3 linked regions of the Callithrix jacchus genome follow. The protein of the gene in region 2 purifies or fractionates together with the protein of the main gene of each other region. This does not show direct contact. Links are inferred from orthologs where the notes say so. Each region holds a gene or a part of one and is shown on either strand. Other genes may lie near its edges.

Evidence for each region.
Region 1: the proteins of CHAMP1 (region 2) and CBX1 purify together in Homo sapiens (affinity purification with mass spectrometry; 6 studies listed by BioGRID and IntAct, with this or other methods). This does not show direct contact. The link is inferred for Callithrix jacchus from reciprocal best matches to the Homo sapiens genes CHAMP1 and CBX1.
Region 3: the proteins of CHAMP1 (region 2) and CBX5 purify together in Homo sapiens (affinity purification with mass spectrometry; 6 studies listed by BioGRID and IntAct, with this or other methods). This does not show direct contact. The link is inferred for Callithrix jacchus from reciprocal best matches to the Homo sapiens genes CHAMP1 and CBX5.

What each region holds. Positions count from the first base shown.
Region 1 is NC_133506.1:118,213,445-118,220,892, reverse strand, and holds the end of CBX1 (chromobox protein homolog 1), read right to left. Parts: intron 3,922-7,448; coding exon 3,777-3,921; 3' UTR 2,406-3,776; downstream 1-2,405. UniProt on the Homo sapiens protein: Component of heterochromatin. Recognizes and binds histone H3 tails methylated at 'Lys-9', leading to epigenetic repression. Interaction with lamin B receptor (LBR) can contribute to the association of the heterochromatin with the inner nuclear membrane.
Region 2 is NC_133502.1:29,684,567-29,692,202, forward strand, and holds the start of CHAMP1 (chromosome alignment-maintaining phosphoprotein 1), read left to right. Parts: upstream 1-2,484; 5' UTR 2,485-2,625; intron 2,626-7,636. UniProt on the Homo sapiens protein: Required for proper alignment of chromosomes at metaphase and their accurate segregation during mitosis. Involved in the maintenance of spindle microtubules attachment to the kinetochore during sister chromatid biorientation.
Region 3 is NC_133510.1:65,304,251-65,311,786, reverse strand, and holds part of CBX5 (chromobox protein homolog 5), read right to left. Parts: intron 4,371-7,536; coding exon 4,270-4,370; intron 656-4,269; coding exon 505-655; 3' UTR 1-504. UniProt on the Homo sapiens protein: Component of heterochromatin that recognizes and binds histone H3 tails methylated at 'Lys-9' (H3K9me), leading to epigenetic repression. In contrast, it is excluded from chromatin when 'Tyr-41' of histone H3 is phosphorylated (H3Y41ph).

The sequences.
Region 1 (7,448 bases), on a different chromosome or scaffold from region 2:
AGGCTGCTATGAGTCATGGTAGCACCACTGCACTCTAGCCTGGGTGACAGAGTGAGACCATCTCTCCAAAAATAAAAAATTGAAAACTACTTAAAATTGCTGGGCACACTGGCTCACGCCTGTCATTCCAGCACTTTGGGAGGCCAAGGCAGGTGGATTGCCTGAGGTCAGGAGTTCGAGACCAGCCTGGCCAATGTGGGGAAAGCCCGTCTCTACTAAAAATACAAAAAATGAACTGTGCATGGTGGCAGGCACCTGTAGTCCCAGATACTCTGGAGGCTGAGGCAGGAGAAATGCTTGAACCTGGGAGGCAGAGTTTGCAGTGAGCCAAGATCGTGCCAGGGCAACAAAAGCAAAACTCCATCTCAAAAAAAAAAAAAAAAAATTGGCTGTCAATGTTTTTTTCTGAGATGGTTTCGCTCTTGTTACCCAGGCTGGAGTGCAATGGCGCAATCTTTGCACAGAGCAACCTCCACCTCCCAGGTTCAAGCAATTCTCCTGCCTCAGCCTCCCAAATAGCTGGGATTAAAGGTGCCTACCACCACGCCACGCTAATTTTTGCATTTTTGGTAGAGAAGAGTTTCAACATGTTGGCCAGGCTGGTCTCGAACTCTTGACCTCAGGTGATTCACCTGCCTCGGCCTCCCAAAGTGTTGGGATTAAAGGCGCGAACCACTGGGCCTGGCCGGTTGTCAAAATTTTCAAACGATATCAAATGCAGGAACAATTATTACTCAACACTGTCAAGGGTGTTTCTGTGGTCGTTGTTCCATCCATTTACAATACAAAACTTAAGACAATGAAGGAGCAAGACTTTTGTTTTACTGGCTCTGCCAGTACAGGATACCTCAGGTAATAATGATTTCACAATATTAGCAAGCTCCCCTTTTCTAATAGTAACTAAGATAATTTATATCCTCTTTAATTCCCGGGCAAGAGATCTGTGATGGTGCAATTTTATGGAAACCATCCAACAAACATGTTTTTCCACTGTCTGAAGAAATATTCTTTGGCTGGGAGTGGTGGCTCATGCCTGTAATCCCAGGACTTTGGGAAGCCAAGGTGGGCAGATCACCTGAGGTCAGGAGTTCGAGACCAGTGTGGCCAATATGGTGAAACCCCATCTCTACTAAAAATTAAAAAAAAAATTAGCCAGGCCTGGTGGTGTGCACCTGTAGTCCCAGCATCTTGGGAGGCTGGGGCAGGAGAACTGCTTGAACCCTGGAGGCAGAGGCTGCAGTGAGCCAAGATTGTGCCATTGCATTCCAGCCTGGGCAACAGAACAAGACTCTGTTTCAAAAATAGAACAAACAATAAACAAAGAAATAACCTCTGAATATTTTCTCAAGCTGACTTAACATTTGTTGTGCCTATTTGTATTTGTAGCAGTTTGAATTTGTGACCTCAACAATCATAAAAGTTGGTCCTTAAACGATAGATCTAGTGATGTTCTAAATGGCTTTCAAAAATAACAAAATTCTGTCTAGTTTCAACTCAGTTTTCACTGCATGCACAGCAGTATTACTGTTTTCTCTGGTGGAGAATAAGTTTTTACAACAGCTCAGGAATGCCACAAATGACAAGGAAGTCAGTTCCAAAGGTTAAGGCCAAAGCTGACTGGTAGCCCATTTGGGATACAAACCAAGGCTGCAGTTTCATTTCAGTGCATTTGATGGTACAGAACAGAACCAGAACACCTCCACCTAAACTCCCTTAATTAGCTACCGATGGCTGTGCTACTGCCAACCACCACAAGGGCACACACTCAGACCTCTGTGCAGGAGGAAGGCCTGTCTGTGACCCAGACCTTCAGTAAGGTTCCCCAGCTCCATTTATGTCTCCCCAGAACTTTCCTGAGGAGGCTTTTGGAAAAGTACACATCAGTTTATTTTAAACCTATGCTTTGCACAAGTGAGTAGTGCTCAACTGTTATACTGATTAGGTATCAGTGGAAATGCTATTTCTGCTATAATTTTGGCTCTAGAATCACAGGCAGAAAATGTTTTCAGTCAGTGCTCAAACACAGGGCCAATTCCTGGAAAATTTTGGAGAAGTAGAATTTAGCCAAGGTCTATTACATACTTGAGGCAGGATCTAAACCTAACTCAAAAACCCATGTTTCCAAATATACCATAGTTTGCAAGTGCTATCAGGTCAGAGTGCTCAATAAACTTTCAGCAATACTGAAGACAGCATGATGGGACCATCTTTACAATCCCTGCAGCAACAAATGCTCAGTATTTACTAAATTAACATGGTGAGACCACTTAAAGATTCAGGCCAGGCACTAGATTTTCAAGCCTGTAGCAAGAAATAAAACCATCCAAGTGAGGATGCGATTTCCAACAGGCTGAACCTATAAGGTAAGAAGGGTTCCTGGGAAGACTTAAGACAGAAATCAGGGATTATAAATCTATAGTTTTATTAAGACAAAAACTGACAGTGTAGTATGAAGTTTACATTTAAACAAAGTTTTCACAGAAATCTAACACATGCCTAAAAAGATTTTACAATGTAGCCCTAGATGCAAGTCTAGACAATATCAAGAACTGATGGATTTCATGACTCAAGACAGAGTATTTTGGGTATGTTACTTCTTAGGATTTCTTTAAAAAAGTGTGTGTGTGTTTTAAAGTGAACACTGCCCAGTATGAAAGTTTAATCTTCTCCTGGGACCAAGGTTTTTTAAGTCACCCAACTCTGGAATCAATTCAGTGAAACTTGTGCTGTCAGTGACTGAACGCTGCCACCAATGGTTTCAGAGTTCAAACCTCAAAAAAAACAGAATGGCTCCAAGAGTTCTCCCCACTAAGAGCATAGGCCCTTATCTTTCCCTACTGTCTTATCTCCTCTACCACCCTCTTCCTTTTCCCCAACACCTCAGCCAGTGGCTTGGATGAACAAGCTGATATTTATAATTTTGTTATTGGAAAAGAAAGGTTTTCTAATTTCAGGAATTAGCACCTCTGAGACAGAATGATCTGCTTGTACTGTATACTCTCCAATAAAAGACCTTCCCTCCTCAGTCAATTTCCATTTCCAAAATGGCAACTTTGGTAACTTATTAACTGGCTTAGTCCTTTGTGGGGAACAGCAGTAAGTTTAGGCAGGGAACACCTTGGCTTATAGGTTTCAGACATTCACAGCTTTTAAACAGTCTCTCACAGTCCTTATTTATGGTGCCAATGACATTTTTTTTTGAAAAGTAAAATATTCTGGACACAGAAGCATATCATTAGTTGTCTGTTCTTTCCATTGCTTCACCATTTCCCCTTTCAGGCCCCCAAATTTAATTAAAATGATGCTACCCATCTCCCTTTCTCCCCTCCCCATCCCTCCCTCCCCCAAATAATACACCAGTAATAGCCAAAAACTACACACATGCTATGCTGTAAAAATGCAGAGTTAACACTATTGGGAAGAAGGCTGTGGGTTGTGGAGATGCTCTTTGAAGATCTACAGTATTTTTTTGCTCTCCCACACACCCAATTCTGCAAGTTTTGTCCTTCATAGAAGGCCCTTTGCTTTTCTCAGCAAAGTGCAGAAAAGGTTGCCTTGAAACACTTACCCCCTTCCCCTCCACTGGGATGGGTGTGCAAACTATACAGCTTGTAAGGGCTTTAAAGCACTTGGGCTGCTGCAGGGCACAGAAACTATACTGGCTCTTCAAAGGACATCTTCTCAAGCCACCTCTGTGGTGTCAAGACAAGTAGAACTCCTTCCCTTCCCACTTGAAACCCACAGTCAGATGTGACAGGGGCTGGTACTCAGGAGAGTTAATTCTTGTCATCTTTTTTGTCATCATCCTCCGAGGGGTAGGAATGCCACGTCAGCCTTTCCTCATAGAAGGATATGACAACCTGTGGGCACTTGACATTGGCTTCCTTGGCAGGGACCAGGTCAGCCTCATCAGAGTTTTTCCTGCAGAATAAAGCAAAGAGAGACTTTGAGACCAACTGCTAGTGGTCTATCATAAGTTGAATAAGCCAGGGGATAGAACTTTTAAAAACAGTAATTTTAGGCTGGGCATGGTGGTTCACGCCTGTAATCCCAGCACTTTGGGAGGCAGAGGTGGGAGGATCACCTGACGTCAGGAGTCAGACCAGCCTGGCCAACATGGTGAAAACCCATCTTAAAAAAAATAAAATAAAAATTAAAAAATTAGTAATTTTAGAAAAATAGGCAGGGAACAATGAAAACGTGGCCTAAGCAGCATTTACTGGCAACTTTATGTCAAGTGACATCCTCAGAGATACTCTCCTGTTGCAAATTCCCTCTGGGGATTTGTGTATGTCAAAAGCCAGGTCATTGGACTTAACCAGTCACATCTGAATATTTCGGAAAGGTCCCCAAAAGCATGACTTTTTTGAATCTCTGAGGGAAGAGAGGCTACCTCACTCTTCCAAAAGCCATATCCCAGCTGATATGAACACATGGAGAAATCTTGGCTTTGTAATAGGTTTTTTTTTTTTTGAGACAGAATCTCACTCTGTCGCCCAGGCGTGCAGTGGTGTGATCTTGGCTCACCACAACCTCCACCTCCTGGGTTCAAGCAGTTCTCCTGCCTCAGCCTCCCCAAGTAGCTGGGACTACAGGCATGTGCTACCACACCTGGCTAATTTTGTATTTTTAATAGAGACAGGGCTTTGCTCTGTTGGCCAGGCTGGTCTTGAACTCCTGACCTCAGGTGATCCACCTGCCTCAAGCTCCCAAAGTGTTGGGATTACAGATTTGAGCCACCATGCCCAGCCTGGAGTAGAATTAAAAATACCACATCTGGCACTGGCCAGAGCAAATCAAAGTGGACACTTTCTTGCATAATCATAATTACACTGACATTTACAAATGCTATCCTTACGTAACTTCCAGGTGCTTTGAAATGTTGTTTCAACACTGGGAGGCAGAAAATGGGGGGGCCATATTTTTCTGAATTTTAAAATGTTTTCAAAATTTGAAAATCATACACATTATAAGGGAATTAGGAGTAAACTCTTAGGCCGGGTGCAGTGGCTCATGCCCATAATCCCAGCACTTTGGAGGGCCAAGGTGGGCAGGCCCAGGAGTTCAAGACCAGCCAGTCAACATGGCAAAACCCCATTGCTGCTAAAAATACAAAAATTAGCCAGGCATATTGGCGTGCATTTGTAATCCCAGCTACTCAGGAGGCTGAGACACAAGAATTGCTTGAACAACCCGCGAGGTGGAGGATGTAGTGAACAGGGGTCTACACTCCAACCTGGGTGACAGAGCAAGACTCTGTCTCATTAAAAAATATATATATATTTTTTTAATTTTTAATTTTTTTTCCAGCACCAACTTGCTGTATTTAAAAAAAAAAAATTCCTATCTTCAGGTTATTAGGAATGTCCTAGACAGAAGCAGTAGTATAAGGCAAGCAGGAGATATCTGATGAGATCTCTGACAAAGCACCACCCAAAACCTCCAGAACCCCAACAGGAAACAAGAGCCACAGAGTCCCATGGAGCAGAAGAGTAAGCCGATAAAATATGTTTTTGAGGCCAGGCATGGTGGCTCACGCCTGTAATCCCAGCACTTTGGGAGGCCAAGGCGGGTAGATCACGAGGTCAAGAGATCGAGACCATCCTAGTCAACATGGATGACCCCATCTCTACTGAAAATACAAAAATTAGCTGGGCATGGTGGCGCGCGCCTATAGTCCCAGCTACTCAGGAGGCTGAGGCAGGAGAACTGCTTGAACCCAGGAGGCGGAGGTTGCGGTGAGCCAAGATCGCACCATTGCAGCCTGGGTAACAAGATCAAAACTCCGTCTCAAAAAAAAAAAAAAAAAAAAAAAAAAATGTTTTTGAACAATGGATCCAGGAGAATGGGAGGGAAATGGGAATCTGAAGCATGCTGCCATCTGCTAACAGCTGAACAACACCCTCTGAGTTACATTCAGTCATTTCACTGCTTAGAAATATTTGCTACTTTCGGAAATATACAAGAATCCCTATTCTCCAGTAAAGTAACTTTTTAAAATGTACTTGGTCTTAGAATCAAATCCAATTTTAACCTGTGGACAGTAATGAGTCAGCCAGGTGCAGTGGCTCACACCTGTAATCCTAGTACTTTGGGAGGCTGAGATGGGTGGATCACCTGAGGTTGGGAGTTTGAGACCAGCCTGGCCAACATGGTGAAACCCAATCTCAACTAAAAATACAAATATTAGCCAGGCGAGGTGGCGGGTGCCTATAATCCCAGCTATTTGGGAGGCTGAGGCAGGAGAATCATTGAACCTGGGGCGGGGGGGGCAGAGGCTGCAGTGAGCCGAGCTCACACCACTGTACTCCAGCAGCCTGGGCTAAGGATCGAGACCCCATCTCAAAAAAAAAAAAGACAATAGTGAGTCAACCAAAGGAATGCAATCGTAAGCAATTACTGTAACTCCCATTAGTCACATGCAGAAAAAGTATCTTCTAGCTAGACTGATTAACTCATGGTATAACTTCTCCCACCCCATAAGCAGCATCTTAAAAATTAACTTTTATCCTACAGGTAAACAATAAATCAGTTGAAAGAGGGTCAAGCTCCAGTAACTGCCTAGGGAATGCATAGGTTAGCTAGTTGTGACTCTGGCTTTCAGTGATGCTAAAGTTAGGCCTCTCCAGCCATACTGTAAAGGAGAATAATTAGTACAGACAGGAGTTTCAGAGAAAGTTCTGGACTGTCAAAAGGATAAAGCTCCACAGACATTGTGTGTGTATATATATTTCAAAAGACAAAGTTTTGAGAATGCTGCCTGCATTGGCAATGGCTTAGAATTATTCCTTCCTAACTTTAAATACAATGATTGGCCGGGCAAGGTGGCTCACGCCTGTAATCCCAAAACTTTGGGAGACTGAGGCAGGCGGATCATAAGGTTAAGAGTTCGAGACCGGCCTGGCAAACAATTAAACCCGGTCTCTACTAAAAATACAAAAATTAACTAGGCATGTTGGCATGCACCTATAGTCCCAGCTATAGGTGGGAGAATCGTTTAAACCCAAGAAGCAGAGATTGCAGTGAGCTGAGACCATACCATTGCAATCCAGCCTGGGTGACAGAACAAGACTCTAACTTAAAAAAAAAAAAAAAATACAATGACTGAGATCCACTTTGGGGGGAGAAAAAAAGGCATAAGCATTTTCAATGGGAAAGAAATGGGAAGAATGATCTTCTTTTGACAGACTAGGAAAATTATAGAGATTGCTGGGATAACTGTCTTCATTAGGCTGTTTCATGGAGCATTACTATCACTGGTATTTATACTCATAATGGAAAAAAGCGGGCTTGCTCTGTGCTTGACAGCAGTTAAGGAGCCTTGCTGACCCCTGCTGGCTGATTCTGTAACTGTAGAATCTGCACAAATTGAAAGGCATCTAACAAAGGACAAAAGGAAGAACTACAAATTCTTTCCTAACCTTGATTATTAAGCAGAACTTCTGATT
Region 2 (7,636 bases):
TTCCACCACTTTGGGAGGCTGAGAAAGGCGGATCATTGAGGTCAGGAGTTCGAGACCAGCCTGGCCAACATAGTGAAAACTCGTCTCTACTAAAAATACAAAAATTAGCCGGGCATGGTGATTCATGACTGTAGTCCCAGCCACTTGAGAGGCTGAGGTGGGAGAATCACTTGAACCTGGGAGGCGGACATTGCAGTGAGCCAATATTGTGCTCTTGCACTCCAGCCTAGGTAACAGAGCTAGACTCTGTCTCAAAAAAAAAAAATATGATGGGAAAAATTACAAATTTGTGAAAATTAAACAACACACTCAGAAAAAGCGATAAAGAAATTACAAGGAAAATTAGAAAATACAAATGAATGAAAATGTAAACACATTATAGCAAAGCTTTTGTGATGCAGCAAAAGCAAACTTAAAGGACTTTATAGCTATAAATACATCAAAAACCAAGAAAATCTCAAATTAACACCTAACTTTACAACTTAATGAACTATAAAAATAAAAAGAAACTGAGGCCAGGCGCGGTGGCTCAAGCCTGTAATCCCAGCACTTTGGGAGGCCGAGGCAGGTGGGTCAAGAGATCAAGACCATCCTGGTCAACATGGTGAAACTCCATCTCTACTAAAAATACAAGAAATTAGCTGGGCGTGGTGGTGCGTGCCTGTAATCCCAGCTACTCTGGAGGCTGAGACAGGAGAATTGCCTGAACCCAGGAGGCGGAGGTTGCGGTGAGCCGAGATCAAGCCATTGCACTCCAGCCTGGGTAACAAGAGTGAAACTCCGTCTCAAAAATAAATAAATAAATAAATAAATAAATGAAAAGAAACTAAATGGCCAGGCACAGTGGCTCATGCCTGTAATCCTAGCACTTTGGGAGGCTGAGGAGGGTGGATCACCTGAGGTCAGGTGTTCAAGACCAGCCTGGCCATCATGGTGAAACCCCATCGTTAAAAATAAAAAAAAAAGTAAAAAGAAACTAAATCCAATGCTAGCAAAAGGAAGGGAATAATAAAGATTAAAGCCAGGATAAATGAAACAGAGAATAGAAAACGACAGAGAAAATCAATGAAACCAAAAACTGGTTCTTTGAAAATGTGAAAGCATTATTCACAATATCTTGAATAGGGAAGCAAGTCAAGTGTCCATCAGCAGGTGAGTGGATAAGCAAAATGTGGCATCCATACAATGGAATAGTATTCAGTGTTAAAATGGATGAACCTTGAGAACACTGTGCTATGTAAAATAAATCAGTCACAGGACAAATACTGTATGATTCCACTTTTACGAGTAGTCAGACTCACAGAGACAGAAAGTAGGATGGTGACTGCCGGAAAGTAGAAGGTAGAGGGGAACAAGGAGTTAACATGTGATGCATAGTTTGTTTTTCAAGATGAAAGACTTACAGAGATGGATGGTGGTGTTATGAATACACTTACTACCACTGAACTGTACACATAGAGATAGTTAAGACAGTAAATGCTATGGTTTTTGTTTTTATTTATTTATTTGAGACAGACTCTCGTTCCGCCGCCCAGGCTGGAGTGCAGTGGCGTGATCTCGCTGCAACCTCCGCCTCCCAGGTTCTAAGGGATTCTCCTGCCTCAGCCTTCCGAGTAGCTGGGATTACAGGTATGTGCCACCACGCCTGGCTAATTGTGTATTATTAGTAGAGACGGGGTTCACCACGTTGGCCACACTGGCCTCGAACTCCTGACCTCAGGTGATCCACCCGCCTTGGCCTCCCAGAGTGCTGGGATTACAAGCCTGAGCCACAGTGCCAGACCATTCTGTAGTTTATTTTAACCACAATAATAATAAAAAGTAAAACTTCAGAAGGGTTCAAATGTAGAGAGCATCGAGCTAATTTCACCGTGTTTCAAAGCATACAGACTGATGGCGTCAGCATTAGAGGTGCATGCATTTTAATTAGAATTGCGGTGGTAATATTCATAAGACTGAAGATAACTTCTGGGGATCGGACTTTCACTGGAGGAGAGGTGATGAGAAGAAATATTGGCATCCAAGAACTATGTTGATTTGTTTGTATTTTTGTCATAGGCATTATGCCAGAAGTATCCCTGACAATGTATGGGGCAGGTCCAGCTCTTTTTTTCCTAATAAATTCATTTCTACAACAATCAAAAAGGCAAGAAGAGGAAGCGATATCGGCAGGGCGGCGGCAGCCCCGGACCATTCCAAGGTCCCGGCGGGAGGCCAGAAGCCAGACGCAGCTGAACCCTCGCGGAGCCGACCCGGGCGCGCGCGGGAAGCGGAGGCGGAGTGGGCACGTGCGGCACTTCCGGGGCGTGGCGGGGCGGGCGCGCGGCACTTCCGAAGGCCCGCGCGAGTCGCTAGTTTTGCCCACGCACTTGTGGCACTGCCGCGCCACGCGATCGGCAATCTGATTGGTCCGCGCCGGAGGGCGCGCGGCGCCAAACTTGCTTCCCGTCAGCCCCCGCCCGTGCCGCGGGCACGCGCACGCTCGCGCACCCGGATCCTGGCTCCTTCGTCCAGTCGCCATTCGGGAGGCCGCTGCGCTGCGGGGCCTGGCTGAGCCGCCCGCGACCGCGAGCCGGGCCCTCCGGGTCGTCCTTCGCCCACTGGACGCCGCCAGCGGCCCGACCGGTGAGGAGCGGAGCGAGCGGGGAGGGCGTGGCTGGGGCCTGCATCTCCGAGCCCTGTGTCGGCCGCCGACTTGGCAGGGCCGCTCCGGGAGGAAGCCGCTTGTCCGAGTGAAGGGGGCCTGCGCCGCCTCGCCCCCTACGCGGCCGCGGGAAGGGCCCGCCCCCGGAGTCCGGGCGGGAGTGCGTCTTTGTGCCGGGAGCGGTGAGGCCCGGTGTCACTCGCGGCCGAGGCAGGAAACACTGCATGTGAAATCATTGGGAAGTTGGGGGCAGCACGGCACGCAAGCCATTCTTTCCGCTTTAGTCCTAGGCTGCCTCCTCCTCTGTCATTATTACTGTTTAAAAATCCGCTATACAGCCTCCAAAACGGCAGAGGAGAATGGTGAAGGGTTAATGTCTGGAATACAAGAAGAGATGCAGCTGACCAACAAAAAGCAACCAGCTTAAGAATGGGCAAGGAATTTGGATAGATATTTCTCCAGAGAAGATAGACAGATGGCCAGTAAGCACGTGCAAAGATGCTCAGCACCACTAGCCATTAAGAAAATGCAGATGAAAGCCGCAGTGAGATACTACCTCATACCTGTTAGGATGGCTACTAACAAAAAATGGGAAATTATGAGTGTTGGGGATGTGGAGAAATTGAAGCTCGGGTGCACTGCTGGTGGGAATGTAGCGTGGTACAACAGCTATGGGAATTGGTGTGGTTCCTCAGTTCTACAAGATTTGTACCCAAAAAAATTGACAGCAGGGACTCAGTTACTTGTTCACAAATGTTCATGGCAGCATTATTCACAATCCAGATGTCTATCAACAGGTGAATGAAAGACAAGCTGTGGTATATTACATGTAATGGACTATTGTTCATCCTGAGGAATGACATTCTGATAGATGCTACAATATAAACGAGCCTCGAACACATTATATTGAATGAAATAAGACACAAAAAGACTAATACTGCATGATTCCCCCTCTGACACAGAAAGATTAGACATTACCAGCACTGAAAATGCAGAGTGGGAGTTAGTGTTTTATGAGTACAGAGTTTCTGTTTGTGGTTAAGTGATTCTGGACGTAGATAGTGGTGATGTTTGCACTACATTTTAGAACTAAACTAAATTGTGATTTTAAAAATGATTCAATGGCAAGTGATTTTTTTTTTTTTTTGGACGGAGTTTTGCTCTTGTTGCCCAGGCTGGAGGGCAGTGGCGCGACCTCAGCTCACTGCACCCTCCACTTCAGCCTCCCGAGTAGCTGGTATTACATGCGCCCGCCACCACGCCGAGCTAATTGTTTGTAATTTTAGTAGAGACTTGGTTTCACCATGTTGGTCAGGCTGGTCTTGAACTCCTGACCTCAGGTAATCCACCCTCCTTGGCCTCCCAAAGTGGCAAAATTACAAACATGAGCCACCGTGCCCAGCCTAAATGGCAAGTTTTATGTTCTATTTACCATCCTTTAAAAAATACACATGAGAAATCAAAACTACTGAGTTAGTAAAAAGATGAGTGGTTGCCAGGAGCACAGGAAGATGCTAAGCAATGAAATAATTTTGTGTGACTACCCTAGCAGTGGATACATGATGCTATGTATTTGTCAAAACCCATAGAACTGCACATCACAGAAAGTGACTCCTTGGTCGTAGTGGTTCACATCTGTAATCCCAGCACTTTTGGAGGCCAAGGTGGACAGATCATGAGGTCAGGAGATCAAGACCATCCTGACAAACATGGTGAAACCCATCTCTACTAAAAATACAAAAATTAGCTGGGCATGGTGGCAAGTGCCTGTAGTCCTACCTCCTTGGGAGGCTGAGGCAGGAAATCGCTTGAACCCAGGAGGCGGAGGTTGCAGTGAGCAGAGATAGCGCCACTGCACACCAGCCTGGTGGACAGAGCAAGACTCCGTCAAAAAAAAAAAACAAAAAGTGACTCCTTGTGTAAACTATAGACTTAATAAATCAATGTTAGTTCATCATTGTAGCAAATGTCTCACACTAACAAAAGATGTTAATACTAGTTGAGTGTCCTTTATTCGAAACCAGAAGTGCTTTGGATCTCCCCTCTCCCCTCTCCCTTCTCCCCACTTTCAGATTTTGGAATAGTTGGCTTGTACTGTTTGAGTGCCAAAATGCTCCTTTTGGCACTTCTAAAGTTTTGGATTTTGGAGCATGTCTGGTTTCAGATTTTCAGATTAGGGATGCTCTCTGTAGTAGGAGAAACTGGGGGCTAGGGAGTTGGTGGAAGGAGGTATATGGGAATTCTTGTATGTTTTTGTTTAAACATAAAACTGCTTGAAAAATTCATTTCTTCCTTTTTTTTTTTTTTAATTCTTATGGAGATGGAGTCTTACTCTGTTGCCCAGCTGGAGTGCAATGGTGCAGTCTTGGCTCACTGCAACCTCCGTCTCCTGGGTTCAAGCAATTCTCCTGCTTTAGCCAATCCCAAGTAGCTGGGATTATAAGTGTGCACCATTATGCTCAGCTAATTTATATTTTTAGTAGAGACAGGGTTTCACCATGTTGGCCAGTCTGGTCACAAGCTCCTGTCCTCAAATGATCCACCCATCTCAGCCTCCCAAAGTGTTGGGATTACAGGCATGAGCCACCGCGCCTGGCCAGTTGATCCAGTTTTTAAAGGCTGGGCATGGTGGCTCCTGTAATCCCAGCACTTCAAGAGGCCAAAGCAGGAGGATTGCTTGAGGCCAGGAATTCAAGACAAGCCTGGACAACATAGTGAGACCCCATCGCTGCAGAAACAAAAACAAATTAATCAGATGTGGTGGTGTGCACCTGTAGTCCCAGCTACTTATGATGCTGAGGTGGGAGGATTTCTGGAGCCCAGGAGTATGAGGCTGCAGTGAGCTGTGATTGTGTCACTCCACTAAAACCTTGGGCAACAGAGCAGGACCCTGTCTCTTAAAAAAAAAGGTCAGCTAAGGCCTGGCGTGGTGGGTGGCTCATGCCGGTAATCCCAGCACTTTGGGAGGCTGAGGCGGGGGAATCACCTGAGATCAGGAGTTGAAGATCAGTCTGGCCAACACAGTGAAACCCCGTCTCTACCAAAAATACAAAAAATTAGCTGGGTGTGGTCGTGTGCACCTGTAATCTCAGCTACTCTGGAGGCTGAGGCAGGAGAATCACATGAACTTGGGAGGTGGAGGTTGCAGTGAGCGGAGATCGCGCCATTGCACTCCAGCCTGGGCACTGATGCAAGACTCCATCTTAAAAAAAAAAGCTAAGATAAAGAACAATGCTAGTGTGTATAGACTAATAGTACCCATTTAGCTTTAAACATGTTCTACATATCGAATTTTAATTTAAAACACTGTGCATCACATGTGTTTTAAAAGATGATCAGTGGTGTTGGACTTCAGTGAAGGAATTGAATGGGACATGGGAAATAGTTATGATACACCATATGGCATAACATTGCATTGAAGAATACTGGGTGACAGACTGGCAGAGCACCAATGATTAGAATTTAGGTTTTTTTTAGAGACGAGATGTAATCTATAAAGACACAAAGAAATTTTTGTTAATCTGGACCATTTTGAGTTAATTTTTAATTAGGGGTAGGAGTTCAAATTTAGGAAGAAATTTTGCTGGAACCTTAAAGCTGGAAGGATGCCCAGCTCTCTAGGCTCTGCCTAAAAGTTAAATTCTGGGACTCAATTCTATAACATTTTTGTGGATAGTTGTGCTACTGTGGGAAAGACAGCATTTTGTTATAGCAGAGATCCAGAATTGAGAAAGCCAGAATCAAAAACTGCTGTTTCCTCTGACCTAAATGATCTTTGTGATCTTTGACAGGTCATGTCTCTCCCTCAGCATCAGTCTTTTCAGGTATAAAATGAAGAAGTTGAACTCAAGCCCTCTGAAGATCCTTCTAGTCCTATGCTGATCATCAGTTCTTTTGATGCTCCTTTTTTTTTTTTTGTTTTCTTTTTTGAGACAGGGTCTCACTCTGGCATCTAAGCTGGAGTGTAATGGTGCAGTCTTGGTCCACTGCAACCTCTGCCTCTCAGGCTCAAGTGGTTTATCCTGCCTCAGCCTCCTGAGTAGCCAGGACTATAGGTGCATACTGCTCATCTGGCTAATTTTTGTATGTTTTGTAGAGACGGGGTTTCACCATGTTGTCCAGGCTGTTCTTGAACCCTTGAGCTCAAGGGATATGCTTGCCTCAGAGTGCTACGATTATAGGCATGAGCCACTGCACCCTGTCTGATTATCGGCTTCTAATTATGGAGTATTCTTATCTGACTAAGAACTCATTCTAGTTCATGATAGAGTACTTTGTTAACTGTGGTGAGCCAAAATTCTTTTCCCACTGGCTGCTGGCTTCTTGTCACTTATAGTATAGCTTATATATTATCTATAATTCTTCCCCTTTTGAAGTTAAATATCTGTATTCATAAAGATTTTTTTTAAGGCCACCTGCCATCCTGATTGCTTTTTGTTTTTGCATGTTCTCTAGTTTGTTAGAGACTTTCTTAAAGCGTCCTTTCTGCCAGAGCTAGAGACAGCGATCCACTGGTATGGTGTACTCTGCCCAGTGCAGAATATGGGATATAGTTCCCTATAGTCCTTTGTTTATGTGCTTGATATGTGGATTTTAAGTGTTTGTTTCATCTTGCTTATTTTTGCCTATTGTACAGGCTTTAAAAGGTCTTGCTAAAGTCCACTATATTAGTTTGTGTATATCTAGCAAGAACCTGGGCAGATAGAACTTTATTCTCTCTTCAGATACTGATCTTTTGTCTGATTTGGGCAAGCTGGTTAATGTCAAGCTTGAGTTTCCTTAACTATAAATTGAAGTTTTAAAAGTAGATGATCCCTGAGGTCTTTTCCTACCCCCAAATCCTATGATTTTGATACTACATAGATGGTAGCTTAGGTTTCCTCTGGTTTTAAAATCTTGTGAGTCTAAGATTGAATAGAGCACATGCTGTGTGCCAGGGATGTGCAGTGGGTCCAGAGGTGAATAAATGGATAGTCCCTCCTCACCAAGAGC
Region 3 (7,536 bases), on a different chromosome or scaffold from region 2:
AACAGGTAGGCAGTTGCTATTGGCTTTTTAAAAGATGGGCAACATCCTTTCCATCTCAACATGTCAAAACAAAGGCCAGCTAGTCAGCAACATGTTCTAAGAACCAAAGCAAGAAAGAAACCAAAATTCAACATTATTGTAACAAAATCCCCCAATCTAAAAAGCGACCAACCCTGAAAAGATCAAGACTCTAAGGTGAAAAAGTTCAAACTCATCTTGAGGTCATAGGGGAGCAGAAGGAAGAGATCAGGGCAAAGGAAAAAAAGACTGTGGGTATTACACACAGTATGTAAATGCCTGGTCTTCACAGAGAGACACTTATCATTAATCAGACCATCAGTTATGTTACAAGAAAACCAATACCAACATTTCTCCTGTGGAGCACAGTGATAAGCACATTTTTTATGGATGTGTTTAGGATAGAAAGGGGTGGGAAGAAGGGAGAGGAGGCAGGGAGGTGAATGTATTATGTACAAAGAGAAATGACAGAGAAAACCCCCTCCTTTAGCTCTTTGCCGTTTCTTTCTCTTTGTTTTCCGCGTCCTCAGGATATGCATGCCATGTCAGTCTCTCTTCATAAAATGCTATCACAATTTGTGGACATTTCACATTAGCTTCTTTTGCAAGAACCAGGTCAGCTTCATCTGTGTCTTTCCTGGAAAGAAAGAATATGCTACTTAAAAGGAGAGGAAGTAAGAATGAAAGAAGCTGTCCAGATATAAGTTTATGTCATTATATGGATTGAGTTGTCTTGATTTCCTCCTCACTTTGATTTCAAGGTGAAAAGGACCCTTTTAATATTTTCAAGAAGAAATTTATGTAAATGGATTAATATATTAATCCTATTATACAGAAACAGATGTCTGCAGGTAGAATTTAGATGTAAAACATGGTAGGCTCAGTTTAAAAAGCTGAATAATAAATGATATTAATCTGCTTCCATAATTTTTATTTGTGAATAGGAGCATGTGAGTGAACCCAATCAAACCTACATTCAGCTGTATTGATTACACCTAAGTCAATTATGCACAGGTTGGTCAATCCAGTTTCCAGATCGTCTAAGTGAAGAGGTCTTAACCCTCCTCACTTTGTGGCCTTTTAAATACTCATTACACCTCTGGTCAGAACCATAGATTGGAACAACAAGCAAATAAAACTTTAGCTACAAATTTCAATTATCTCAGTTACAGCCTCTACTACCAAGTATAACAAAAAAAAATCTAGCCACATGGTCCCTTAGGCATGATTACAAATCAAGAAAAAAATTAAATTAAATTATCCTGAGAAGGCCACGTACAGTAGCTCATGCCTGTAATCCCAGCACTTTGGGAGGCTGAGGCAAGTGGATTGCATGAGCCCAGGAGTTCAAGACAAGCCTAGGCAACATGGCGAAACCCATCTCCACAAAAAATACAAAAATCAGCTAGGCATGGTAGTGCACGCTTGTGGTCCCAGCTGCTTGGGAGGCTGAAATGGGAGGATCACTTGGGCTTGGGAGGTGGAGTTTGCAGTGAGCTAAGATTGAACCACTGAACTCCAGCCTGGGCAACAGAGCAACACCCAGTCTCAAAATAAATAAATAAATAATAATAAATTAAATTATCCTGATATGAGGACAAGGGAAATTACCACCTTGTTGGAGCAGACACTCAAATTCAAACTATGGTGGAAAAAGCCAATTAATGAAATGTAAATCATAAGTACACGTATGGCTGAGTAAGAAAAAGCAGTCCAGCCTAGACACAGTGCCTCATACCTATAATCCCAGCACTTTGGGAGGCTGAGGTGGGAGAAACACTTGAGCCCAGGGCAACAAAGGAAGACCTAATGTCTTCAAAAATTTTTTCAAAAAATTAGCAGGCCATGGTGTCCAATTTTTTCAAAAAATTAGCAGGACCTGTAGTCCCAGCTACTCAGGAGACTGGAGAAGGAGGATAACTTGAATTCCGGAAGTCAAAGGTGCAGTGAGCTGTGATCACACCACTGTACTCCAGCCCGGGTGCCAGAGTGAGACCCTGTCTAAAATAAAATTTTTAAAAAGCAGTCCAGACCTGTAATCCCAGCACTTTGGGATGCCGAGGCAGGAGGACTGCTTGAGATCAGGAGTTTAAAACCAGCCTGGCCAAGATGGTAAAACCCCATCTCTACTAAAAAATTAGCCAGATGTCGTGGCACATGCCTATAATCCCAGCTACTTGGGTGGCTGAGGGATGAGAACCACTTGAACTTGGGAGGTGAAGGCTGTAGTGAGCCAAGATGGTGCCACTGCACTCCAGCCTAGGTCATAGAGCAAGACTGTCTCAAAAACAAAACAAAACAAGCAGTCCATACAGCTCCTTATTTCTGACAAAATATAACAATTCTTCAAACACAGGCTTCTGGGTAATTTACCAGCAGCACTATCATCAGATAAAATAAGCTTTTGATTATACAGCTTTTTTTTTTTAAAAGTACAGTGGCACCATCTCGGCTCACTGCAATCCTCGCCTCCTGGGTTCAAGCAATTCTCCTGTCTCAACCTCCCAAGTAGCAGAACTACAGGCACCCACCACCACACCAGGCTAATTTTTGTATTTTTAGTAGAGACAGGGTTTCACCATATTGCTCAGCCTGGTCTAGAACTCCTGACCTCAGGTGATCTGCCTGCCTCAGCTTCCCAAAGTGCTGAGATTACAGGCGGGAGCCACTGCACCCGGCTGACTACACAACTTTTAAGGTAACATGTTTCTTTAGTGGCAATGCAGCACAAACCCTCTATGTATCATAAACCCAGAATACCTGGAAACAGTGAGGGCCACACCATAAATCACTCTGTTTTTAAGAAATCAAATTGAGGGTCTTTTTCTGTTTTGAGATGGAGTTTCGTTCTTGTTACCCAGGCTGGAGTGCAATGGCGCGATCTCGGCTCACTGCAACCTCCGCCTCCTGGGTTCAAGCAATTCTCCTGCCTCAGCCTCCCGAGTAGCTGGGACTACAGGCGCATACCACCATGCCCAGCTAATTTTTGTATTTTTAGTAGAGACGGGGTTTCACCTTGTTGACCAGGATGGTCTTGATCTGTTGACCTCGTGATCCACCCGCCTTGGCCTCCCAAAGTGCTGGGATTATAGGAGTGAGCCACGTGCCCTGCCAAATTGAGCGTTTTTAAGTAATCAAATTGAGGGCTGGGTGCAGTGGCTCACGCCTATAATCCTAGCACTTTGGGAGGCCAAGGCGGGCAGACTGCTTGAGGTCAGGAGTTCAAGAGCAGCCTGACCAACATGGCAAAACCCCCTCTCTACTAAAAATATAAAAATTAGCCGGGCATGGTGGCAGGCACCTGTAATCCCAGCTACCTGGGAGGCTGAGGCAAGACAATCACTTGAACCTGGAAGGAGGAAGTTGCAGTGAACCAAGATCATGCCACTGCACTCCAGGCAATAGAATGAGATTCCGTCTCAAAAAAAAAAAAAATAAATCAAATTGAGAGGAACTACTTACCCTTTCATCTAAGAGCCATTCGGTCTATACTGGATGAAATAACTTGTGCTTTGGCCAAGTTATTTGGCCAAGTATTAGCCTTAATGCTTTTTGTTGAGATTATTTTTCTCTTTTAGACATTATTCAGCAGGTCTGGCCCTCAGTGATGGCACAAAGTCTCCTTTGATTCCTAGTTCAGGGTCACAGGCCCATGGTCTTACAGTAAATAATTCAGAACTGTGTAAACAAATGGTTATGTCATGCTTATGTTTTCTTTTTTTTGAGATGGAGTCTCACTCTGTGCCCATGTGGGAGTGTAATGGCTCGATCTCAGCTCACTGCAACCTCTGCCTACCAGGTTCAAGCAATTCTTCCTCAGCCTCCTAAGTAGCTGGGACTACAGGCATGAGCCACCACGCCCAGCTAATTTTTGTATTTTTATTAGAAATGGGGGTTCACCATATTGGCCAGGCTCCTAACCTCAAGTGATCTGCCTGCCTTGGCCCCCAAAGTGTTGGGATTACAGGCATAAGCCACTTTGCCTGGCCTTTATATATTTCCTACCTCAAATTTACCTTTTTCCTGATATGTAGGCTACTATAATTTGGCTTAATAACAAAGCTTGAGAATGTCTTAAATCCATTCTGAACCATAATTCCCATTTAATACCAATAATTGGTATCAGTTAAGGATCTCTGACATTCAAAATTCATGGTCTGGGAATACGCAGTCTTGCTACTTTATTTTCCACATGAATTCAAGTGACTGGCAAAGAAACACAATTGTAAAGTGAAGCCAAATCTTTCTCACCATTTCATTAGGAACATTAAATCACCACAGGAATCTGTCGCCCCAATGATCTTTTCTGGTTCCAGTCCTCTCTCAAAGCCCCGAGCTATATCATTGCTCTGCTATAAACAGAAGATGAAGAAAGGTTATAGCTTGTGGAAAGAGTAGAGAAACTCCCTATTTCTAGGCTCAACAAAACACAATATAAGTTAATATCACCTGATACCATTTCTGTCACCAATTTGGAAAAATTTTTAGAACTTAATAACAGTACTAAGTACTGACAGTGACAATGAAGTGACAGTGATGCCAAGAGATATTTTTGGAAGATGTTATCTTTCCTGGATTTCCTTCAGAAGACTGGAGGTGAACCCTAAAAGTCTCCAGTATTCCGTAAGATACTCTGAAGTCAACATCTAGGAATTCCTCTAATCCCACTCACTCAAAATATCCTTAATATTGTTAAATAAGCTCCTGAAATGATAAAGACCATGTTTACCCTAACTAAACCTTTTCATTTTACAAACTTTAAATATTTTACCTCTCTCAATCTTTATTTTTTTAGACTTTTAGTTTGCCTTAACACTAACCAATAATTTTAATACATTTCACAGTCACCTATATTTATGAAAGAACAGAGATAAGAATCATGCAAAGCCAATACTATTAAATGGCAAATTTCAGAGATCACAAACACCAATACCTACGTGCTTGGTTACAGAGAAGGCCCTGGTCAGTGCCTATCCCCTCTGGATGTTGATGACTGTTAGAACTGGGCAGAACTGGACTGTAATTGAAAACAAACACAAACAAAAACAAAAACAAAAACCTGCCCTGGTGCAGTGCCTCAGGCCTGTAATCCCAGAACTTTGGGAGGCTGAGGTAGGAGGATTGCTTGAGACTAGGAGTTGGAGACCAGCATGGACAACTATCTCTACAAAAAAAATTGTAAAAATTAGCTGGGCCCAGTGGTGTACACCTGAAGTGTGCTACCTCTACTCAAGAGGCTGAAGTGGGAGGATCCCCTGGGTCCAGGAGTTCAAGGCTGCAGTGAGCTACATCATGTCACTATGCTTCATGGTGGGCAACATAGTGAGAACCTGTCTCTTAAAGTAAGAAAGAAAAAAATCTTTTTTTTTTTTTTTTTTGAGACAGAGTCTCACTCTGTTGCCAAGGCTGGAGTACAATGGCACAATCTCAGCTCAGCTCACAGCAAACTCTGTCTCCTGGGTTCAAGTGGTTCTCCTCCATCAGCCTCCCAAGTAGCTGGGATTACAAGCATGCACCACCGCACCCAGCTAATTTTTGTAATTTTAGCAGAGACAGGGTTTTACCATGTGGGGCAGGATGGTCCTGATCTCTTGACCTCGTGATCCGCCTGCCTTGGCCTCCCAAAGTGCTGGGATTATAAGCATGAGCCACGGCACCCAGCCAGAAAAAAAATCTGGTAATTCCTGAGATGAGTACTGAAACTTGGTCTAAATTCAGTAATACAATCTAGACAAGGAGCACAGGTTCTAATCCAGGTGTAGGAACACCGATGAGAGCTAAAAAGCAAAATTTTATTCGAGCCAGGTAATTTTTTTTTTTTTGAGACAAGAGTCTCCCTCTGTTGCCCAGACTGGAGTGCAACAGCATAATCTGAGCTCACTGCAACCTCCGCCTCCTAGATTCAAGTGATTCTTCTTTCTCAGCCTCCCAAGTAGCTGGAATTACAGGCGTGCGCTACTGGGCCTGGCTAGTTATTGCATCTTTAATAGAGACGGGGGGCTAACCATGTTGGCCAGGCTGGTCTCAAACTCCTCAGGTGGTCTGCCTGCCTTGGCCTCCTAAAGTGCTGAAATTACAGGTGTGAGCCACTGCACCTGGCCATGCCTGGATAATTTTTGTATTTTTAGTAGAGACAGGGTTTCACCATGTTGACTAGGCTAGTCTCAAACTCCTGGCCTCAAATGATCCACCCACCTTTGCCTCCCACAGAGCTGGGATTATAGGTGTGAGCCTCCGTACCCAGCCCAAGCTAGGTAATTTTTAAAAACTTTATTATGGAAGATAATGTTAGCCTCTCCAGTGGCAACACAAAAAAAGATTCAGAGATGCCCAAATGAGCTAAATCTCTACTGATGATTCTTATAGTAAAATCTTTTTGATCTGATTATGTTCACCTTGCTTTCCTCAGACACAGAAAGCATTTGGGGTCTTGGTGGTCCCCAAAGATACCAAAATCCTCAATAGGAAGGAAATTCCATGCATGAATCATTGAAAGATACTGACTTTTAAAAACATAGCCTCTTTGGGGGGTGCTTAAGGGGAAGAAGTTCCCAGATGTGCACACAGCTGCTCACAGCTGGAATGCTGGCACATGGACTAAGTTGTAAATCATAGCTGACAGCTGAAAACAGTTTGCTATATAGAGGGGGGAAGGGGTGGGCAAATGGAAGAAAAATGTTCAAGCTGCTGAAAAGGAGCCGAAGCGAAGAAAACGCTAAAATCATCATACAGGCAGTAATCTTAAATCAGGCATAATGCAGACTAACAAATTTCTTCTGCAGTGGTCTTAAGAAAAAAATGCAATCCCCTCCTCTGTACCTTTAAAACATATAATCACCTATTTTCCCAACTGTCTACCTGACAGCAACCAGTACTGCTAGAATGCTATCAGGGGCCCCAGATGAACATTATGATCTAAGGGACACGTAGGGGTTGTTTTCAAGGTCGGCAGCTTCAGAACCTGGCCTAGGAACAAAACTCTCTGCACTGACCAGTGTCTCTAAGCCAGATAATTCAGGCTGCTCATTTTTAAAAAGGACAGAGGTTGGTCACGATGGCTCACGACTGTAATTCCAGCACTTTGGGAGGCCAAGGCAGGCAGATCACAAGGTCAGGAGATCAAGACCATCCTGACTAACATGGGGAAATCCCATCTCTACTAAAAATATAAAAAATTAGCCGGGCATGGTGGCACACACCTGTAGTCCCCACTACTTGGGAGGCTGAGGCAGGAGAATCACTTGAACCCAGGAGGTGGAGGCTGCAGTGAGCAGAGATCACACCACTGCACTCCAGCCTGAGCGACAGAGTGAGACTCTGTCAAAATAAATAAATAAATAAATAAATTTAATTTAATTGTAATTTTACTGGTCTGGGGTGCATCTTAGGCACTGGATAATTTTTTTTTTTTTAAAGCACTGTCCAGGTGAGTATAATGTGTAGCCAGGATTGAGAACTAATGCTCTAGAAAGTTAGATATCTAAGTAGAATGAAGATAATAGGGATGCTTGTGACAGA